Linked DNA regions of Lonchura striata. The protein of the gene in region 1 interacts with the protein of each later gene in a pairwise test. Links are inferred from orthologs where the notes say so. Each region holds a gene or a part of one and is shown in the gene's direction. Other genes may lie near its edges.

Evidence for each region. The genes of interacting proteins can lie anywhere in the genome.
Region 2: the proteins of SUFU (region 1) and HDX interact in binary tests that used the Homo sapiens proteins (3 or more experiments, as listed by UniProt). The link is inferred for Lonchura striata from reciprocal best matches to the Homo sapiens genes SUFU and HDX.
Region 3: the proteins of SUFU (region 1) and GLIS3 interact in binary tests that used the Homo sapiens proteins (3 or more experiments, as listed by UniProt). The link is inferred for Lonchura striata from reciprocal best matches to the Homo sapiens genes SUFU and GLIS3.

Annotation. Positions count from the first base shown.
Region 1 is NC_134609.1:20,015,035-20,022,668, forward strand, and holds the start of SUFU (suppressor of fused homolog), read left to right. Parts: upstream 1-4,554; 5' UTR 4,555-4,614; coding exon 4,615-4,790; intron 4,791-7,634. Other genes in the region: ACTR1A (alpha-centractin), read right to left, coding at 2,521-2,568. UniProt on the Homo sapiens protein: Negative regulator in the hedgehog/smoothened signaling pathway. Down-regulates GLI1-mediated transactivation of target genes. Down-regulates GLI2-mediated transactivation of target genes. Part of a corepressor complex that acts on DNA-bound GLI1.
Region 2 is NC_134616.1:4,436,530-4,444,260, forward strand, and holds the start of HDX (highly divergent homeobox), read left to right. Parts: upstream 1-4,692; 5' UTR 4,693-4,885; intron 4,886-7,731.
Region 3 is NC_134642.1:16,924,546-16,931,528, reverse strand, and holds the start of GLIS3 (zinc finger protein GLIS3), read left to right. Parts: upstream 1-3,944; 5' UTR 3,945-4,008; intron 4,009-6,983. UniProt on the Homo sapiens protein: Acts both as a repressor and an activator of transcription. Binds to the consensus sequence 5'-GACCACCCAC-3'.

The DNA of each region.
Region 1 (7,634 bases):
GCACATTTCATATTGTTGTAACACTGTTTTATTAGATAAAGAATTTTTAAGATCAAGAACAAACCAAAGACAAGAGCCCTTGATGACAGCTCAGCTGCATAAAATGCCACCACTAAAGACTACAAAGCAAACCAGAGATAATTCCAAGTTCTATGGAGGTCAAGGAATTTGCACTGACTTAGGCCACAGCTGGACTACTGACATGTGCATTATGTTCAGCAGGGCTCCCAGACCGTTCAGAGAGAACTTGTTGGACTGCAGATGGGAATACAACTCTTAAAAATTAGACAATCAAGAGTAAAAAGTTGTGCTGAGGTACAGCTCCAGCTTCCCACTGTACATTACAAAGCTCTCCCTGCTGAAAGCATACAGCTAAGAGCAATTTGTGGTAAGAGAAATAAACGTCCCTGTTAATTTTTTAGCTACAGAACTTCATGTCCTTTTGGAACACACTTTAATTCTAGAGCAGGGCTGGGACTGGAGGGGTCTGGCTCTCACCAGCTCAGTATCTCACCTCCCCCTTTCCACACACAGGCACATGTGAGACAGGATAACATTCAGCCTTCTTCAGTTCTCTGCAGAAAAGCAGTAATGAGACAGCAGTGAGAAGTGGTACCTGCTCTGTGCAGCTCCACTTCCCATCCTGCCTGAACTCCAAAGAGTAGCAAAAATGCAGTGTCACCACGAGTCTCCTTGGCCCAGAGCCTGCCAGCGTTACAGGCAGATGCCACAACAACTGCTCCATTCTCCTTCTTGTAAAGGGAGGGGAAGGGGGAAGCTCGTTTATTGGAGAGGCAAGAACAAGAATTAGCTTTTATAAGACCAGCTGATAAAATGAAAAAGACACAGAATCAGCTGCTGGCACATGAGGCCTTCTTCAGGTCTGAGGCAGAGGCAGCAATCATTGCACTAAATAACAAAAGGACATGCTGAAATTAAATATAGGCTGCTCCTGCACTAATAGCTCAACTAAGTGATCCTCACAGCTCCAGAATACCTAGAGATAACTTTAATGTTTAGCTAATCACTCAACAATGCAGCAGGATCAGTGCTGATACAGGCATTCCTAAAAACAATCAACTTAATGCATTTTTTAACATATTCAGTAAAGGACATACATGTTTTTCTCAACACAGTCAATTTCACTCCTTACTATCCTTTTCTATTAGATGCTTTCCTTCCATGTCTAACTAAAATCCTTCATCTGTAAGATTCCAGGGAAATAAAGCCAAAACTGTATCAGAGAGAGGAATTTGGGATCCACAATACAGAAAAAGTCAGAAGAATAATTGCCGTTATCTGAGAAGACCTACAATCATTCACTGCATGGAGAGTTAAAGCAATAGGCTGAGAACTGCCAGGGCAGGAAACCCAATTCATATGGAAAAAAAAAAATCGGGAGAAATTAAGCTTGTGGAAGAAAAATGGAGCACAGCACTGACCCTTCAAAACAACAGAATATCAATCACTGGCGATAGAGGTCAGAAGGGAGGAGCACGAGTTTGTGACTCATTACACTGAAGGAGGCTCTATCCAAGACATGCCCTCCCATTCCTTCCTGGATGGTCCTTCCTCCTGGGAGGGCAGCATGGATGGGGCAAATCAGAACTGGACCCAGAAGTACCTCAAAGAGGCACAGAATCACTGTCATTCATCTCCTGCAGAGCTATTACATACACAGACTGAAGGTCTGCTTTGTGCTAATGAGCACCATCAGCAATACTGGAGCAGCCATCTGCAACACCACACTGCGCTGATGTAACCCTGGGAACAGATCCTTCAGCAGTGGCATTCCCTTGTTGTGAGGGGCACTGCCTTGTTGTGACCACTGTGCTGGATGCACTGGATGAGGGGGCACAAGAGGTCAAGGCTTCTCCCTCGCTGGGCCTGCGAGGGGTGCCTGGCTGCAGAGCATCATATCCTGCACGGGGCCAGGGAAGCGCCAGCACCCCCAGAGCTTGCTGGGGTCCAAGCACGGCCTAGCAGGAGCACACTGGAGCCCTGGCCAAGGCCTGCCCCACAGCACGCTGGCAGTGTGGCCACGGCCTGGCCCAGCACCCCCATTGTCCCCCCGGCACAAAGAGGGGTGGGCGGGGCCGGGGAAGCCCCGCCCGACTGACAGCGCCAGCTGCCAATGAGCGCGGGTGCTCTGGCGACAGTCCCGCCCCGCTCCGGCAGGCAGCAGCGGGCTGCGCCGCTGACTGACAGCTGTCTCAGCCAATGGGGGCGCGCCGCCCCTCCCAACCAGCGGCAGCTCAGCGGCGGCGGGGGCTGCGCCCCCCAGCGCGGGGCAGCGGCCCCGCCGTGGCTGACTGCCACTCGCCCCAGCCAATCGCGACTCGCCGAGGCGCAGCGGCCCCGCCCCCCGAGGACGCCGTATGGCGCCGTGCGAGGGCCGGAGGCGGCGGCCGAGCCGGCCGAGGTGGGGGGGGGGGGGCGGCGGGCGGGGAGCGGCCGCCCCGATGACAAAGGGATTGCGGGCCCTCCCCGCTCCCGGGACGCGCGGCCGCCCGCACTCACGTTGTCTATCACGACGGGCTGGTTCGCTATCACATCGTAGGATTCCATGGCGAGGACCCGCCGCAGCCGCCCGTGAGGGAGCAACAGCCCAGCCCTCGGCGGCGCATGCGCGGAGCGGCGACGCGGCGCCGCCTGGGTGATGTATTCCTGCCGCCGCGGCGCCTGCCGGGAGTTATAGTCCGACGCTGCGCAGAGTCAAGCGGGGAGGCGCGCCGGGAGCGGAGCACGCCGGGAGCTGTAGGCCGGCACCGGGAGCGAGCCATGCCGGGAACTGTAGGCCGGCGCTGGGAGCGGGCCATGCCGGGAACTGTAGGCCGGCATCGGGAGCGGGGCGTGCCGGGAGGCGGAGTGCGGAAAAAGGGAATCCTGCGGACACATCCACGGCCTAGACACCGGAGAATGTTGCGGTCCAGGAGATAGCTGGGTGCTTCCACCGGAAACGCTGCACCGCAACTGGCTGGCTTCCGCTTAATAGATTCTCCCCTCTTAATTTTTTCTAATAGGAAAGGAGAAAAAGGTGATTATATCAACTTCTGTAGAGGGTATCTATGACTACGGAAAGTGTTTTATTGTCCCATAATTTCATGTGATCATCTTTATGAACTACTGGTCATAAGTCATCTGTTCCCTCCACGAAACACCAGTTTCTCTCCATTTTTGAGGTACAAGAACCACAAAAGAGGTGTCAGTATAAAGAATACACATCATGATCATTTCAGTATTGAACAATGAACACACTGTCATTTCCATTGACTAAGTATTCTAAAAGCACTTGGAATAATCGATCACTGAAACTCTGGATCTTGAAACTAATTAAAATGGATTTTCATGCCACTGAGCAAACCTGAAGGCTTGACTCACCTGTCTTGTCCCACATCTCTCCTGCAGACATGGACTTTTCTCCTGTAGTTCCTGCCTTTAGCTCCAGTAGATAAGTTTCATCCCAGATGTTTACATTTAGCGACCTTCCCCATTCACCTAGTCTAAAAGAGGGAGTTTTTATACAGCAGGATTGAGGGGTTTAGATGAAAGACAGTGTTGTATCACTTCAGTGAATGGCAGGAGACACTCACTATGGGTGTTTCCAACGCAGCCTTTCTACATACTCTGTTACACTCACCTTCTCAGCTGACTGCAGCTGACTACTCAGGCAGATGACACAAAAAGTAGTATCATGGTAACAGGACAAGTGAAATATTTTTCACTGTGGAAAGTGAGGACACCAACTGCTCACCTCCTTTATCAGAGGATTGTCATTTGGCTGTCAGCTTCTTCACCATGTGTGTTCCCCCAAATGGTGTTGTGAAAGTTTTTAGAATAAACTCTCACCTATTTAAGTGAGAAATGCGAGCAGGGCGCCCACCATCTCTGCTGAGCACTCTATAGCTCTTTTTTTTTCTATTTCCTGATTAACAAGCAGGACCCTGCTCTAGCAAAGGTGTGTAAACTACTGCGCACACACCATCCACATGTACATACCCGGCTTTGCACCTCCACAGCTGTAGCTGCAGCTCGGGAATGAGCCAGACCGTCAGTGCGCTTGTGCACAAGCCAGAATCCGCGATCGCAGAGCCCCAGACTTCACGCACTGGCAGCTTCCAGCTGCCTCCAAGGGCCCTGCATTGGCGGGGGTGTAAAGGCAGCAGTCAGAGCCCCGCTGTGCTCCCGGGCCCGCCGGGCGCGGAGCTCCCGCTCCCCCGGACCCGCTCCGCGTTCCCGCCACCGCCGCGCGCGGCCGCCGCCCCGCCCACCGCCCAGCCCCGCGCCGCCGCTAGGGGGCGCGCCCGACCCGCAGCGAGGGGCGGGGCAGAGACGCGGCCGCCCTCCGGGCGGCGAGCTCCCATTGGTCAGTCCGTCCTGTCACTCAACGCCGCCCTTGCAGCGGGGCCCCACCTCCTCTGCGCGAAGCCCCGCGCAGCGCCGCCATTGGCGGAGGCGGTCTGTCACTCACGCGGCCCGGCAGTAGGCCCCGCCCCTCCTCCCGCGGCCCCACGCAGCCGCTTGGGCCGGGCAGGGCCGGGCCGGGAGCGCCTGGCGGGAGCGGAGCGGGTTCGGCACCAACCGGGACGGGCCGGGACCAGCCGCCTCCGGGACATGGAGGGCGTGCGGCCGGGCGGGGGGCCCCCCGCGGGCGGGCCGGGGTCCGGCTCGGGGTCCGGGTCCTTCCCGTCGCTGTTCCCGCCGGGGTTGCACGGTATCTACGGCGAGTGCCGCCGCCTCTATCCCGACCAGCCCAACCCGCTCCAGGTCACCGCCATCCTCAAGTACTGGTGAGGCGGCCTGGATGGGGCCGGGGTCTTGCGTGGAGCCGGGGGGAGCCGCGGGGCCGGCGCCTTGTGTGGGATAGGAGAGGGTTTGGGAGGAGGAGTGGGAGTGGGAGAGGGTTGGGAGAAGCACTGGGGCTGGGGCCGTCGCACGGGGTAAGCTGGAGGGGCTGGGGAGGGTTGTGGCAAGGGCAGGGACTGGGGGTTGCGTTCTGTGTCAGGGGTGATTTGCGGGAGTTTTGGGGACATGCAGCGGGTCTGCGGATGGGGGGATTGGGGGTGCAGTTGGTTGCCTAGGTGTGTGTTTGGAGGGGGCTCCTGGAGAGAATGTGCTGGTAATAGAAGGGTCTGGAGAGGTGTGCCCTGAGGACAGGAGAGTGTATTGGGGTTTCTGGGGTGATTTGGAGGGTCCACGCCTGAGGGGTTGCTGATGAAGGCCCCATCTGGGGCAGGTCTTATGAAAAGGGCGTGCGTGTTACTCAGTGGAGGTGTTCCCGCAGAAGGTGAGGGAGGGTCTGGAGTTTCCCCCCCGGTCAGGAGTGCCGGGCTCTGTCTTCTGGCCAGGGGCCTGGGGCTCGAGTGCGGCGGCACGGACCGGAGCGAACCCGCTGTTGCAGCCTGCAGGCCGGGCACATCCCTGTGTACCCATACAGCCCTGCCCATACGGGGCACTGCCAGCTTCTCTTGGCCTTACGTAGCTATGTGTTATCACAGAATGTGAATCTGCTGTTCAGTGTCTCTGCTGACACAGTGTCTGACACCAGGAACAGCAGTTGTTTATGTGGGAGAGTGGCATGAAGGAAGTTCTTGGATGTTTAGCTATCAAGATAAGTGTCTAGTGTCTAATCCCGTGTGAAGAGGAGTTCCTTTTGCTTTTTGCTTAACTGGATCGCTTAGCTGCGCAGCCCCTTCTTCTGGGGCTAAGGAACATGATCAAGTCACCCCTGAATGTTTTCTTTATGTCACATTGGCCTGTCCCTACCCTAGTACTTGAAAAAAAAACTAGTAAATGCTCAACTTCTTTAGTTACAGCTCATTTCAACCTGTATGTCTTTATCTAATTAGAGACCTGAGCAACAGCAGAATAACATCCTCCCTGTATGCTGCTCTGACAGACAAAGCTATTGCTGTTTTTGTCCACAGAAGTGTTGTTTTTCAAGTGATTCTAGCAAGAAGTTTGTTAGCCCTTATTGTCTAGGGGAGTATTGTATTAAAATGACACAGTGGGCTAAGATATTGCAAATTTGAGACTTCAAAATATAAATAATTTCTTAGTCATTGTGCACATCAGTACTTTGGTGGTGGTCTGATCAGTCTGTTTTTACACCTATGTCTAATCTTAGATACTCATGAAGAGTTTCCAGTCACGTTAGCACTTCTTTTCTATCAACAGCTTAAAACATACTGACTGTATTGACATAAGATTTTTGGAGGCTGAGGGAAATTTAGGTCTGTAGTGAAGAATGGCAAAGGCCCTTGTTTGGGAAGAAACCTTGTTGCTTAAGGGATTGATTAGGGTTTTGCTGCAGTTGGAGCTCAAACGCTAAAAGAATTGTTGCTGGCAGTGATGGCAGGTTGCAAGTAAGAAGTAATGTGAAGGCCTGTTTATCCTGGCATTTTCCACTTAGTGGTTCCTCCAGCTGTTAGCTCAGCCAGCAGTGAGAGCTGAGAGTTTCTGTTGTAGAGGTGAGCTTCCTACTGCTGTCCTGTGCAGGAAATGCTTGTGTGAGGTAAAACCTCTATGGACACCAGAAGTTCTTTCTCTCCTGTTGTTGGGTGAAAACTTGGAGCTTGATTTTGTTAAGTTCTCTTAAGTAGAACGACTCCTGCCACAACTCTCTGCTAATCTGTCCTACTCTGCCTGGGCTGCCAGCTATTAGCTGGTTTACATTAGAAGAGGAAATGGCTGAATTAAATTCTCTGCCTTAGGAGAAATATTGTATCACTAATCAGCTTTTAATTATATGTATCAGTTTCTCTACAGTTAACAGCGATTTGGTTTTTTTTGTTCAGGGAGCTGAAGTTGTAGTCTTTGGCTTGCAGATCAGAGCAGATCCTAACTGTGGAACATTGGAGAATCTGCAGAACTCCATGCCTGTTGCATAAAGGGGTTTAGCCATGTTGGGAGAAGTCTTGGGATCCAATCAGAACTTCTTGGAAGCGTTTCTGTCTATTTTTGTGAAGGCCATGCACCAAGATGGAGTTTGTCTGTTGATATCCAATATCCACTTTTATTATAAAATGTGGTAGAGTATCTCAAATTTAAATATCTTGTTGCATAGAATTGCTGGTGAAAAAAATAAAATTTATTCTTTTTTTGTGATGGGTTTTGAAATAAGTATAATTCGGCCTTGACTACTGGGTTTTTATCACCTGTCTTAAATTTAGGCCATACTTACAAAAACCTGTGCAGTGAGCTGTGGTCCGCAGCCTTTTGGGAATCACACACTATTTCTGAAAGGTTCTCAAAAGGTAGCTGTGAAGAGCAATGCTATTGTCAGCTTCTGGGAAGTGACTACAAACAATACACTAAGGACTTTTCTAGGTGGATGAATTAGGAGTGGAGTTTTCCAATGACTTTCCATTGTGGGTCTCTTTCCTCTCTGCGTTTTGTGTTTCGCCTTCCACACAAACTTCGGAGTGCTCTTAACATCAGTCAAAAGAAGATTCTTGGTGCAGATGCAAATACAGGGTTTCCCCTGAGGCGGTCCTTCCTGCTCCTGAATGAGCTCCATGAATAGAGAATGTAACAAATTTGTACTGTACCTCTGGCTTTGAAGTTGGGCTCTTCCTAATAAAATCCTCCAACGCTTCCAGCTCTTTGTGTGAGTGCATGTACTGATATGTAGA
Region 2 (7,731 bases), on another chromosome or scaffold:
TGGCGCTGTTTCCTTTAGAACTAAACCTACATTTAAACCTTTCCTTTAGTTTGGCTTGCTGTGACTGAGAGAAAAATGAGCTTGGCTAAATCAAACAAGGTAAGAGAAGCAAGGAGAAACACTTGAAGGAACTGTTGGGTGATGGTTATTTTTATTCCAAAGGATTAGGGACAACCACTACATTAAAAGGAAAAAAAAAAAAAAAAACAACAAACCACTTTTCAGGCTCTTTCAGCCCAGTCAAGGGTACAAGAGAAAAATAAGGATTGGTAGCAAGAGGGACAGGCACAAGCTTTGGTGGAGATGGAGTAAATGTGCACCCACAGGTAGAAGAGAAGGAGCAGAGGAAGGTTTGATTTTGGGAGAGCTGAGCACATGGAAAAACCATCTTAACCTCTGGAGAAATACAAGTCAAAGAAAAGCAAAGTGCTGCCTAAACTAATAAACGCTTTGAAGATTCCAACTCAACATTTTCTTGGCTGCTTTTCTAAAAAAGTCATGGGAAATAAGAATTGTTTGGGCTTCACATTTAGGTGAATCATTTCACCAATTCAATTAGGTTTGTAGAGGGAAGATAAATGACAAAATGAGGGGCTGTATAGATATTTTTTTTAAATGATAGTTCTCTTCCTGGTTCTTTGCTTTCTCATGCCTGGTTTTGTTTTCATTTTTATTTTAAAAATATTTTTAATTTTCTCTTTGTATTATAAAACTCCCTATGCTAGGAATACTAATGGGTGAAAAATAAATATACAATATTTATCTCCCTCTTTGGATAAATTTTTGGTTTATTGCATTTTTATATGTTCCTCGAGTTCATAAGTTTTCCTGCTTGGTGTACGAAAAATTATCAAAGGCAATAAAAATGCAAGGAAGCAGCATCTCCGATTTTCTTAAAAATATCCCAATAAGATAAAAAGTGGAACAAATCCTTAAAATATCTACCCAGCCAGGCTCTTTTCCATTTTTTTCCCATAAGCACCAGCTGTTTTTTCCATACCAGCACAAAGGACATACTTACAGATTCAGTTTATGGGAGCTTTGTTTATGCACTGGGTAAGGATTAACACATAATTTTAATTAATATGGCAAAACCAAGTTCAAAGAAGACAGAAAATTTGTAAATCTTGTAAGACCACTAATTCTGGCTGGGCTTTTAGATGCAGAAAATGTGCTGCATGGAATTTTCCATATTAACATTTTTCCTAAGGTTTACACACTGTAATCCTTTCTTCATCACTATTTCACACGGAACCTCCTGATTTAGTAGATTTTTAATTGCACCCTTGTACTCCCAATATTTAGTGTGTCTTTTTAATATTTCTGTAAACTGAGCATCGCTGTTGTCGTTTGGGTGTTCATTGAGCAGAAAACCTGGGAAAGAGCAGGAACTTAAACCAAGAACTTGCTTTTTAGAGCAACTTTTCCCCTGCAAATCCAATGGTATTGATAGGAAAAGAAGGACATGCATATTTTGGTGGAATGAACCAAATGAATATTTAAAATCATCAATAATTATAAGTAATAATAATATATAATATTTTTATAAATTATAATAAATAATTATAAATAATAATTGTTATTTAAAATAATAAATCAATTCAAACTTTGTGGCAGAATAAGGAGCCTTGCAGAGACACGAAGCAGTAAATATTACATATCTTGGTTTTAGCAAGGTTTTTGGAATGGTCAGACACATTCTTGGAGGGGACAAAGCCTCAGAACTGCCTGAGGAGCTCCTCAGGGAACTGCTGATACACTTGTCCAACAAAATGAAAGGAGCAGCAGGGTTTTCCTGTGGCCACTCTTGAACCTGAAGTTTAATAAATCTCTTCTGAAGGTTGAACTTATCAAAGATTCGGGATGAATGATAGCAAGAAGTTCCCAAAAGGAGCTTGGTCAAGCACCAGATCAACTCCAAGTTTTTCCACATTGGATTTTCCATACATTTTCCCAAGCACCAGTTGGACACTTTGGGGACAAGGGACAGATTCAATCCAGGTTCCTTTTTGGCTGATGCAATGCAGCCCCATGATTTCATGCCTTGGAGCAGCATCAGAGCCAAATTTCTCAGTGGGGTGGAGAACAAAATTTCCAGGTGAAAATGAGCTCTTTTCCACCCTGTTTTCACTCCCTCTGACTTTATAGGTGAGCCCAAGGTCTGGCTTAGAGCTACATCCTTTAAAATATCCCCTAAACAATGGCATCCTGAAGCAAGGAAAGCTGTCCTGAGAAAGGGTTCTGTGGAGTGGGGTGGGTTTGCCCCTGTGGCTTCCTCAGTGTTTTCCAGACTCCAAAAAGAGCCAGAGAAATGGAAATAGCAGCTGTTGCTCTAAACTGTGTGACCAAAGCTGTCCCACACCAGCTCCCAAGTCCTTGCCCAGGAATTCCGAGCAATCCCTACAGAGTTTCCTCTCACCTGCACGATCTGCTGAAAGTCTGAGAACCTGCGAGCTGCTGGAACAGGGAAAGGTCTTGGAACCTTTGTGTGATCCTGCAGCTGGGTTCCTGAGGGTGGAATCGTTTCCCATCCAGGGAGCCGATGCAGATGTTCCCAGCTGCGGCAGGAAATGCCCACCCCCAGCCCTGGCCCCAGGGCTTTCCCTGCCCCTAGAACCACACCGGGGTAAGTCACTAGTGGTGAGCTGGGCTCCTCACTTTAATGAGCTCGTACCGAGGAGCTGCAGCACAGCCTCACTTTGATGCTTATTCCCCCATGGAAGGACTCCTTTCATGTCCCAGATCAACCTGCCAGCCCCTGTTAATTTAAATCTGTCATTAATGAAGGAGGAAGCATTTAGATCTGGTGGCAGGAGAAGAATATTTGGTTTATTTCATCCTGACATAGTGTTTTCTTCCTCAAGGTTTGGCTCCTTAAGAGGCATTACCAGGAAAGGAAATATATAACACGAGATTCTTTCTGGAGCTTGTCACTCTTCTGCTGCAAACAGCAGCAGCTTTGTTAACTTGCACATTCAGCCTCTTCTATTGTAAAGAACATTACTGTGATCAACAAATCTTCTTTTGGGGCCACAAGTCTGCAAACTGGTTTCTTTGACAACTTAAATACACATCTCATGTCTCCTTCAAGAACGATTCTATGAGTTTTTTGATGAAAACTATAGAAAAAGCACCTTAAGCCCATTGTTAGTCAAATTAGAACCCTTGAAATATTACTTTCTATTATTCACCATTTTAAAGGAGTTTAATAAGCTGCATTTTATCAGACACCACTGTATTTTTCAAGGGATGTTAGAGAGACTGTCTCACCATTTTTGTTTCCCAAGCTGCAGATAACATGAAGAAGAAAACAAACCAAGTTTCTTAGGAATCCTTCCATAGCTAATTCCAAACCAATTATTTTCTATAAAAGTGGTGGAGTAGAGGTTTTATGGTTGCTGTATTTAAGTTTTACAGGGCGAGTGTTGATGGTACACAGAGGAAGGGAACATATCCAGGAGACAAAGCAGCACAACAGAAGATTTAGGGTTTAAATATAGGGGCTCTCTCTAAAGTTCCGTTACTAAATCCAGGATGTTTACTACACCATAGAATTATAGAATGGTTTCAGAAGGAAAGACCTTAAAGATCATCTGTTCCCAATTCCCCAAAGGGACACCACCACTAGTTCAGAATCCGTGTTAAAATTTTTAAACAATGTAAACAACTTCTTGCAATTTTAAAATAAACATAAACACTGTCTGCTTGTCTACTCCCTGCCTACAGAGAACCAGCAGCAATTGTTTTATTTCAGTCCTGCAGAAATATTTACTGGTATTTCTAATTAAAGCATCATACAAAATTAATTGCCTGTTTAATATTTTAACATCGTGACTTTCAGAGGAAACTACTTGGAGTAGGGATATGGCCTGTCTGGAGGCTTTGCAATGAACACAGGTCTCAAATCTGAGTCTGACTTCTCAGTGTTCTGACAGCCAAGCCAATAAACGGTGATTTTCCATGATTTCCACCACACAATCCATCAGGATGGGTCAGCAGTGTGCCTCCTGCTCCTTTGTTGAGGAGGTTTCCTTTTGGAAGGGAAATGGAGCCCGGAGGAGGGCTGGCACTGAGGCACCTGGCTGCTCCTGGGTCCCCATAAGGACACAGGGGTGAGTGAGGGCGGCTTGTGCTGTCACCAGCTCCTGCAATGCCCACCTGGACACATCGGCTTTTCCTCCCTTCCCAGACCAAATGTATCCATCCTGGGAAAGAAAAGGTTTATTCATTGAGTGCCGTAATATTGATGCAAATGGAAGCCCTTGGTCCTTCACAGAGCTTTTTGGGCTTCGCTGGGCACAACCTCCTTGTGAGCCCAGGCTGCAGAATGCAGTGGGGTCACAGGGATGGGCACCCACAGAATCGCTGGGTGGATGGGTTGGAAGGGAGATCACCCTGACCAAGGCGGGGTCACCAGGTGACACAGGAAGGTGTCCAGGTGGCTTTGGGGTGCCTCCAGAGAGGGAAGCTCCACGCCCTCACGGAACGGAGCTCTTCCCCGTGCTGTGGCGGAACTTCTGCTGTAGTTGACGGGCGCTGCTCCTTGCGCTGTCCCCGGGCAGAGCCCGGCACCACCCTCCCGGGGTCATTTACAGCGGACTCCGTCCCGGCCGGCCCGCCGAAGGCTCCGGGCCGGCTCTGCGGCCGGGCCGCGGCGTCGGCCGGCGCTGCCCGCGCTCCCGTGCGCGCCCCCCCGGCGGGCGGCGGGGGCGGGCGCCGCGCGGGCCGCGCTGATCGCAGCGCGCCATTGGCCGCTGTCTGCGCGCACGTCACGATCATGATGAGAATTAATGATCGGGGCCGCTGATTTCATTGTGTGACGCCGGGACCGACCCAGCCGAGCCCGGCCGAGCCCGGAGCCCCCGCGCCGGCCCCGCGCTGCACGGTAAGCGCGGGGGAGCTCCCCCCCCTCCCACCCTGGGTGGGGGAGCGCGGCGGGGCCCCCGAGCGGGAGGGGCGCGGCGGGAGGAGGGGAGGAGGAGGAAGATGATGATGATGATGGTGGTGATGATGATGGTGATGATGGTGGTGATGATGATGCCGGCGATGCCCCCCCTCCCCCCGGGCCCGGCGGCGGGGGTGGGGGGAGGCCGGCGCGGGCTCGCGCGCGCGGACGCGCCCGGCGCGCGCAGGCGCCGCTGCTCCCCCCGCCCCCACCCCCGGCGCGGCCCCGAGCGGGGGGGGGGGGGCGGCGGGCACGCGCCGGGAGCCGCCGGGGGAACTGCGCGTGCGCGCGCAGCCGCTCCGCGCGCGCCAGGGGAGCGCCCGCGCGCGTGCGCCGGGCGGGGCCGCTCTGCGCGTGCGCGCCGGGCCCGGCGGCGGCCCCTCAGCCGCGGGTGCCTCAGCGGCGGGCGCGGAAACATCGCGGTCACACAAGTGTCGCTGCCATAGAAACATCGCCGTCACGGCAGCGTGACAGTGACAGAAACATCGCGGCGACAGAGCCCGGGAAACAGCCCGGGATCCCCAGCACAGCCTGTTACCGATCACCGCCCCCGGCACTCCGTGCCACGTCCAGCCTTGCCTTAAACGCCTCAGGGACGGGGACTCTGCCGCCGCCCTGGGCAGACCCTTCCAATGTCTGACCGCTCTTTCTGTGGAGGAATTGTTTATAATGGCGGTCCCAAACCTCCCCTGGCACAGGTGCTGTCATCGCTAATTTCCTCATTCCCCGGTGTCTCAATCACTGAATCACTGAGGTTGGGAAAGAGCTCTGAGATCACCGAGTCCAACCTGTGCTCAGTCCCCACCTTGTCACCCAGCCCAGAGCACTGAGTGCCACCTCCAGGGATGGAGTCTCCAAACCTCCCTGGGCAGCCCCTTCCAATGTCTTATCACCCGTTCCATGAACAATTTATTCCTAATGTCCAACCTAAACCTACCTTGGCAAAACTTAAAGCTGTGTTCTCTTGTGTCACGGATTGCCTCAGTCCTTAGCGCCCGGTGTCCCCAGTGGCTCAGCGTGCCTGTGTTGGCAGGGGTGTGGAAGAAGATGAACTTCAGGGTCCCTTCCAACCCAAACCCGTCTGTGATTCCATGGTACCAGCCTGCTGTGGTTGGACAGGGGGCCTTGTTCTGCCACGCATTGATCCCTCAGGTGTTTGAGGATGAGGAAGAGGACGTGTCCTTGGCTGTGCTCTTGTGGAGATCTCACCTCTTGAAGTGCTTGTGTGGCATTCACCTGCCCGAGCAGTCCCCAGCCCTGTCCCCCCTTATCCTGGGGTTTCTCACTCTGTGGATAAGAACACACATGACTCACCTAAAGTATGTGTCCTCCCAGCTGGACTCCTGAAGCAGCTCACATGTTCAGAGTAGCACTGCATTTTGATGTTTCTTCCTTTTTCTGACACAGGTCTTACAAAACATGTACATGCTTTATTTAAAACACGTGGCTAATCCAGCTGCAGTCAGGAGTCTCATTTGCATCAATAAAGCAGGATGGGATGCAGAAACCTGCAGTGTTGTGGTCATGGGTTATTATGTTATTAAGTTACTGAGGGCTGTCTAATTTGTCCCTAATAAAGGGCTGCATTTTATAGGTAGGGCTGTAATACAATCCTACAAACGCTGTACTTAGTGGAGAGGGAAACAATTATGCTGCGAGTCACGGATATTTAAAAGTAGTTTTACAAGCTGGTGTGTACATTACACTCACCCAAGCATTGGCCTCATCTGCTGCACTTGGACTCAGTGGTTTGGCCTGTGTAGGAAAGAGGCACCAACCTAAAAAATCAGAATATTAAAGGTTGTTGCTTGATGTGTGTCCAGTATCTCCACATAGTGTGTAAGTTGGGGGTTTGGTTGGTTGATTGTTTTCTTTCCATTTGGGATGTGCAAAAAATTGTGGTTTTGGCAGCCTTGGAACGTGAATGAGATTATTTCAGTTCAAGTTTCTAAAGCTGGAGGAATAGTGTCACTACTGCAGTCTGGTTTTATTTATGTCTGTAGTAGTTTTCTTACCATAGTTCCAGTTTTGTCTCAGATTTGTATTGGCACTAAGACTTGTTATTTTTTGCCACTGGAGATCTGTGGAAGAAACAAAATAAAAAATATAAATTGGGAGTGTGCCGATTTTCTTGTACCTCTTACAGATGGAGAGACTAAAACAGAAATAGTCTTTATAAGGTGACTTTTTTCCTAAGAAAATGCCTTTTTGGAGCTGAAGTTAGAAAAGAAAACTCAAAAACTGATTGTTCCTTTTTATCACTTTGTGTTAATCCCTGACAGTTTTAGAATATGTTATACCATAAGTGTTTTTATACTTAGTTACTTCCTGGTGACTTGTACTCTTGAGTTAATGAATTTATTTATTATTTATATGACACCCAAGACTAGTTTCTGTTGCTGTTTGAAGTGAGTATAATTATGGGTTTTTCCTATTTTTCAAATTAATTAGTATAAAGACTTGTAAATGTTTGCTTGATTCAGCAATCCAAACATTTAAGGACTTTAGGAGACCAAGATCGTACTGCTGTGCATTGTAGGGAGAAATTGTGTTTTTTTCCTTATGCTGCTCCTTTATCTTTTCTTTATTTTTTCCCCCCAGATCTCTCAAGTAATTGCAGATCAGCTCAGTAACCCCTGAATTATTTGATTACATTATTTTCCCCCATTTCCTTATAGTTGTCATTCTTTTGTGGCACTCCTTGACATGAAGTTGTTTCCATTAGCTGCTAAAAAGGAATGACCTGGCTTCACCAGGTCTCCCCGGAGAGATTCCTGATTTTGGAA
Region 3 (6,983 bases), on another chromosome or scaffold:
GGAATGAGTATGGGTTCATACTGATGGATATGAATATGCAACAGTGTATGACAGTTATGAACATGCAGTTGTGTCACTCACTAAGAAAACTTTGGATGCACTTACTTTTAATGCACTTATTAGTCTTACCTGCCTTATTTTACATAAGCTTTGCTGCTATTTCAGCACATCAAAAATTAAGCATTGTCTTTGGATATGAGTTACAGTTTCTAATGCTAACTTTGTTAATTTGAGGTTCTGATTGTCTTCCTTACTTTATGCTCAGGACTTCTAATCAGGCTTCATCCATGACAACAAAAGTTCTTATCCTGTATATAAAGGCTGCCTGTATCTTATGTTTTAGACCACATGTTTCTCAAGGTGATAGGATCCATCACTTCTTTTCATATGAAAAAATTGAGAAAATTTACTTCACATACATAGAAATAACTTGATAAGGGAAAAAGATTTTTAAAATGGTGATTAGAATTGGCTTTTGGTATTGTCAGGGCTATTTAAAGCAATTTATTTAACACAAACTCACCATTTATTTGCTAGATTTGAATTAAAATGAGCACTTTGTCAGTATAAACCTTTTTTGCTGTCTGTGTTACTCATTTGCATACATTACCATGGCTATCATGGTTAGTTTTTGGATAATCTTTGAACTTTTTAGTGAAGACTTCCAATTAAATGATAATTGCATAGAAAATTCTGGCATATAGCAGGAGTAAAGAGACAGTAAACAAAAAGCTCATTGAGCTCACAAATAAATTCTGTGCTTTCATGTGGAAAAGACCCTTTCAGTTGTCGGTTCTTTTACTATGATTTTTAAAGTGAGACACATTTTACAAATATTTCTGCTTTAAGTGTGCTATGAATAGTAAATTTATTTACAAGTTTCTCAATTTCTAAGTGTCCATACACTTAGAAAAAAATCCCAAAACACTGGAAAGCCATGAAACTTTAAAAGAAAGATTGAAGGCTCAATATCTCTGCTGGGTTTTCTGGGCATGTAAAGAACACAGTACCAACTTATGAAATTCAGTCACATTAACTGGATGTAGTATGAATGAATGACGAAGGACCTTTAGCTTGGAAGAGTTTCTTCAGCTAAGGATCCAGGCTGACCTAGCAGAGCCCAGTGATGTGGACATACCAAAATATATCCCCCTCCCTCAACTCTCCTCCTAACAGCTCTTGCAGCAGGATAGGGATACAGGCTTCCCGTCACCTTGCAAGAAGCAATCAGGACTGCCACAGTGCCATTCTTATTCTTGGAGAACTGGGATTTAAAGTTGTTTTAAATGCAGGGTTGGTCATGCTTGGCATGACAGAGTGCACCTGCTGCACTCTTCAGTTGCCCAGCCATGTCAGTGGGCTCCCTTGTTTGGAGATTCGCTGGCTGATAGGATGCCCTACCATGAGGTCTGCATGCTCATGCTGGTAGAGCGATTGAGTAATTTGCTGCTCTCTGAGTCTGGCTTTTCAGCTGCTTTATTCACCTCTAGCTTCAGTTCATTTATATTCTCAATTTTCCAATTACACCAGAGGGGAATAAGGTGGACCCAAACTGAAAGAACCAATATGTTTCAGTAGCTGGGACATATCCTGCATGTGCAGCAGTCTTTTCGAGAGCAATGGGGGCTCTTAATGGCAATTACCTCTTGGCTGCAACTGTTGCTGCGAGAGCTGATCATCAGCCTGGGGCCATAGGATCCCTGTGTTTTTGCTCTGAGTGGATACTTCCAGCTTTATCACAACGCTAGTCCTGTGGTCTTTCCAAGTCAGATTTCCTCCTAATTGAGAAGGGCTCTTGCATGCATATCACAGCTTTCTATGCCTGGTGGAAAAATGCCAGCAGACATTAAGCCACTTCATCCTATTTCCCACTTCCCAAACCCTCTGTTTTACCTGCTACCCTGCCGTAGCACTAGGTTTTCTCGTACACGTCACACACAGGTCACATCCAGGCCCCCTTACAGCCTCCGTCCGTGCAACTCCCCACGCATTCCCCATAAAGCCCGTAGCATGTAGCCCAAAGACTATCCTCCAGGGACCCTGCAGTCCCTACTGCTTCTTCCTCTGCCAGAATTGGTGCGGTACCGCAGCTCCCCCGGTTCCGTTACACACAGACACAAAATCACCCCCGCCTCCCCTACCGCGAACACCTCTGGCTTCCAGCGCACCCCTCCGTTCCCTCATCCCCTCCAGCGTCTGTGCAGCCCGCCCCTACCCCTAAGCCTCCCCCTCGGCTTATTCCAGCCCCTACAGGACCACCCCATCAAGCCCCCTGTACCTCCTGCCAGACCCCTGCTCCCCCCGCCTCTGCCCAGCTGTGTCCCCCTGCCCAGCTGTGTCCCCCTGCACAGCTGTGTCCCTCTGCCCAGCTGTGTCCCCCTGCACAGCTGTGTCCCCCTGCACAGCTGTGTCCCTCTGCCCAGCTGTGCCCCCCTGCCCAGCTGTGTCCCCCTGCCCAGCTGTGTCCTCCTGCCCAGCTGTGTCCCCCTGCCTAGCTGTGTACCCCTGCCCAGCTGTGTCCCCCTGCACAGCTGTGTCCCTCTGCCCAGCTGTGTCCCCCTGCACAGCTGTGTCCCCCTGCCCAGCTGTGTCCCTCTGCCCAGATGTGTCCCCCTGCACAGCTGTGTCCCTCTGCCCAGCTGTGTCCCCCTGTGCAGCTGTGTCCCCCTGCCCAGCTGTGTCCCCCTGCCTAGCTGTGTCCCTCTGCCCAGCTGTGTCCCTCTGCCCAGCTGTGTCCCCCTGCCTAGCTGTGTCCCCCTGCCCAGCTGTGTCCCCCTGCGCAGCTGTGTCCTCCTGCCCAGCTGTGTCCCCCTGCCTAGCTGTGTCCCCCTGCCCAGCTGTGTCCCCCTGCGCAGCTGTGTCCTCCTGCCCAGCTGCGTCCACCTGCCTACCTGTGTCCCCCTGCCCAGCTGTGTCCCCCTGCCCAGCTGCGTCCACCTGCCTACCTGTGTCCTCCTGCCCAGCTGCGTCCCCCTGCCCAGCTGTGTCCCCCTGCCCAGCTGTGTCCCCTTGCCCAGCTGCGTCCCCCTGCCCAGCTGTGTCCCCCTGCCTAGCTGTGTCCCCTTGCCCAGCTGTGTCCCCCTGCCCAGCTGTGTCCCTCTGCCCAGATGTGTCCTCCTGCCTAGCTGTGTCCCCCTGCCCAGCTGTGTCCCCCTGCCCAGCTGTGTCTCCTTGCCCAGCTGTGTCCCTCTGCCCAGCTGTGTCCCCCTGCCCAGCTTTGTCCTCCTGCCCAGCTGCGTTCCCCTGCCTAGCTGTGTCCCCCTGCCCAGCTGTGCCCCTCTGCCCAGCTGTGTCCCTCTGCCTCGCTGTGTCCCCCTGCCTAGCTGTGTCCCTCTGCCCAGCTGTGTCCCCCTGCCCAGCTGTGTCCCCCTGCGCAGCTGTGTCCCCCTGCCTAGCTGTGTCCCTCTGCCCAGCTGTGTCCCCCTGCCTAGCTGTCCCCCTGCCCAGCTGTGTCCCCTGCCCAGCTGTGTCCCCCTGCCTAGCTGTGTCCCCCTGCCCAGCTGTGTCCCCCTGCACAGCTGTGCCCTCCTGCACAGCTGTGTCCCCCTGCCCAGCTGCGTCCCCCTGCCCAGCTGTGTCCCCCTGCCCAGCTGTGTCCCCCTTGCCCAGCTGTGTCCCCCTGCCTAGCTGTCCCCCTGCCCAGCTGTGTCCCTCTGCCCAGCTGTGTCCCCCTGCGCAGCTGTGTCCCCCTGCTCAGCTGTGTCCCCCTGCCCAGCTGTGTCCCCCTGCCCAGCTGTGCCCCCCGGGACCGCTCCTCCCGGGCGGCGGGGCGGGCGCGGCCGCGGGAAGGGTTAAGGGCGGGCACATGACAGCGGGCACGGGCTGCCGCGCTCGGCGGGGGCCGCGGCTGCCGCGGGGTAGGCGGGAGCGGAGCGCTGAGCCCCGCGGCGGCGCCGCGCCCCGCCGAGCGTGCCCGCGCCCGGGGGCGTGCGGCGCGGCGCGGCCCCTGCGCTGCCCCGCTCGCCGAGCTGCTCCCGGCCCCGCGCCGCCGGCCCCGGCGGGGACAGGGTGAGTCGGCGGCTCACGGCCTCCGTGTCAGCGCGGGGAGGGCGGAGGAGAAGGGAAAGCAAAACAAACGCTCTTGTGGTGCCGTCAGTTCGCGGTTACTCACCTCGCCGGCCGGTCCGCCGCCGAGATGGGGACGCAGCTCTGTCTGGAAAGACGGGACAGACGCACGCCCGGGAGATTTGTCATCCCGCTGGTGAATAACCGGAGATAGGTACCCGCGGAGGGAGGCTGCGGAGCGGCGCGGGCGGGAAGCCGGGAGCGGCCGGGGGTACCGGCCGGAGTGATGTGCATCCCGCGGAGCTGCCGCGCGGAGGCTCGCGGCTCTGGTGCCGGGCAGTGTCCCGCCCGGGGCTTCCTCTCATCCAGGGACTGTCCCCGTCCGCAAGAGACCAGACGTGTCGTGCTTGGTGAGGTGACAGCTCTCTTCATCTGCCGGCCTGTACATTGCTAGCAACTCCAGCCTCTTAAAAGACTAAATTAATTAACTTTTAGCTGTGCCTTCCTCCCTTGTTCGCTTTTGGCCCCAGTTCATCCTGCTCATGCTTTGATTGCGAGATCTGTGGGATGAGCCGTGGTAGTGATAAGGGTGGCGTTAGTTGTTCCCCGGGCCATCAACCGGGCAACCTATGGTGGCCTCCTGCACGAGGAGTGGTCGTAGCAGGGGCACCAAGTCAGGGCAGGTGTCCGTGGCCCTATACCTCTGCCTCTGGGGACGTTGTTGGTGGTTTTCTATGTCCTGCATGGACTGAAGATATCACCACTGCTGACACGGCAGCATTAGCAGTTGTGCCTGCACTCCTGGAAAGTTCCAAGTCACTAGAGGCAAAGTGAACAAGGCAGCATTGAGAGTAAAAGGTGCACGAAAGGCTTGCAGAAACCTTTGTTTGATAGGTAAGGATGCTGTGGCTACTGATGGCATGTCAGAAAGCTTGCTCAGATTCAGGTACTCTGTGCTGACTGATCTATATTGGGTTTTTCAAGCACCTTGTCTGAAGGCTGTAGCTAGCCCTGCTGAGAATAAGTTTGCTCCTGGAAAGCTCATGCTATTCATTTGGTGCAACCACTTGCAGTAGCACCACTCTGATATTTAAGGTTCTAGTAGAGAGGAAGCTTATGAGATCTTAACAATCTATTATTATTAACATAATAAACTTGAGAAGGTTTCTCTGGCAGGCTGGCAAGAATGGTAACTACACTAGGATATACATCATCCTGTCCACTGATAATGGCTGCTCTCTTGGTGGCATTTGCAGCAGTATCAGTGACTGTGCTCTGCTCTGTGTTTGTACAGTCCCTTGCACAAAGGCATTCCTTTCTGTGACTAATCTTCCTAGGAATTATAGTGATGCAAGTAATAAGTAATTAGTAGATTTCATTAGACTAGCTCTGAGAAACTCAATCATATTTGGGGCCTGGTTGCCTTGAGTGCTGTGGAAGATCTTTAGCTATCATTTACCTTGTTTGTTTATGCTGTATCATTCTGATGATGCTCAAGAACTAAGAACCTTCAGCTTGTGTGAACTTTTCTAGTTTTCCTTGGCTGAAAACCAGGACCTTAGAAAAATGTGATATTTTCAGACTACTTGCAGTTTGGAATGAAGACCCCTGTGGTACTTCAAGAATACTACTGTGAAGAAATGGATACAAATTATCAAAACAGTGGATGCTAATTTGATATATTTATTATTCTCAGTAGTGAGTGAGTTCTGAGATGCTGGGAGACATGGAGGGTGGGGAAGATGTTCTATATAAATTGAGAGAAAAGCTTATTTTTAGCCCCAGTTTTGAAAGCACATTGTCTTCCTTTATTGCAGTTGGAATTCTTAATGTACCTATTATTCCAAGCGTAATTTCAAACTCTCAGTTATTATTTCTTGCCTAGTTAAATCTCTATGTGGTTTTCCTTTTCAATGAGAATTTATTGCTGTGCTCTGTTCTGCAAACTAGAGCAAGATAACTGTACAAAAACTGTAGCACTTCCTATGCATGTGTGCTCTATTTAGAAAATCATGGTGGCTTGCACCTGTATAAGGTTTTGTCTTTCTCACAAGCAGTTGTGACACACAAAAACCTCAGGAGTCAGTGAGGCTCAGGTGAAGCATCCCTATAGCTTTTGGTGCCTGTTCCTTCCCCCTCTCCATCACAGTCCTGTGCACCCAGACTGGCTCATCATGTGTGATGCCAATACTTCTGAGTATTTTACTGTGGTGCCACTGAAAGATGATGCTCCAGAAACCATGGCCATGCATAGATGGAAGGGCTGATAGGGGAGAATAGAGCTCAAAGGGTAGGTAGACACTTTGGGTGGCCATGTTGTTGCTCAGCCCTGGGAGGAAGTAAATTTTTCCCTGGAATTGTGCCAAGGAAATTGTTGAGGGGAACATGGTGAGAGTATTGGTTATCCATATTCATATTTGGGATGAGGGCAGGCACTCACAGTCTTGGAATGCACAGTCCTAGAGGAGGGGGTTATGGTTCATGTTTGATTTCTGTGGTGTCTGGTAGCTGTTGCAGAGGTGAGATGTGTCCAGTGGAAAAATAGAAGGTTGAGTGCCTTGTCTTTCAGTCTTCTCCTTTGTGATAGTGCTTGCTACACTGCATGCAAAGTGCCAGTGTCTAATAACTACTTCCATGAAAGCATCTCCTGAGCTGGATTTACTATTCCTTAAACTGATCTCTGCTTCTGTTGAAATTGAAAAGTACTTTACCTCTCCTTTCAGTGGGTGAAGCAGTTAGCCAACTCTGATTAAAGCTCTCAAAACTGCACTGGAAAGGTAGACGATATAGCATACTGTGCTACAGACATAGATTTGTGAATTATTCTTTTGTTTCACCTTCTCAAGGAGTAGTGTTTGGATTTTCCAAGGCTTTGGTTCAGCTTGAATTTAAATTTTATTTTGATGGAAGTCAATTTATGAGTCATTGCTATGGATTTTGAGCACTTATGTTGTCATAATGTTATTGATGCAAAGTCA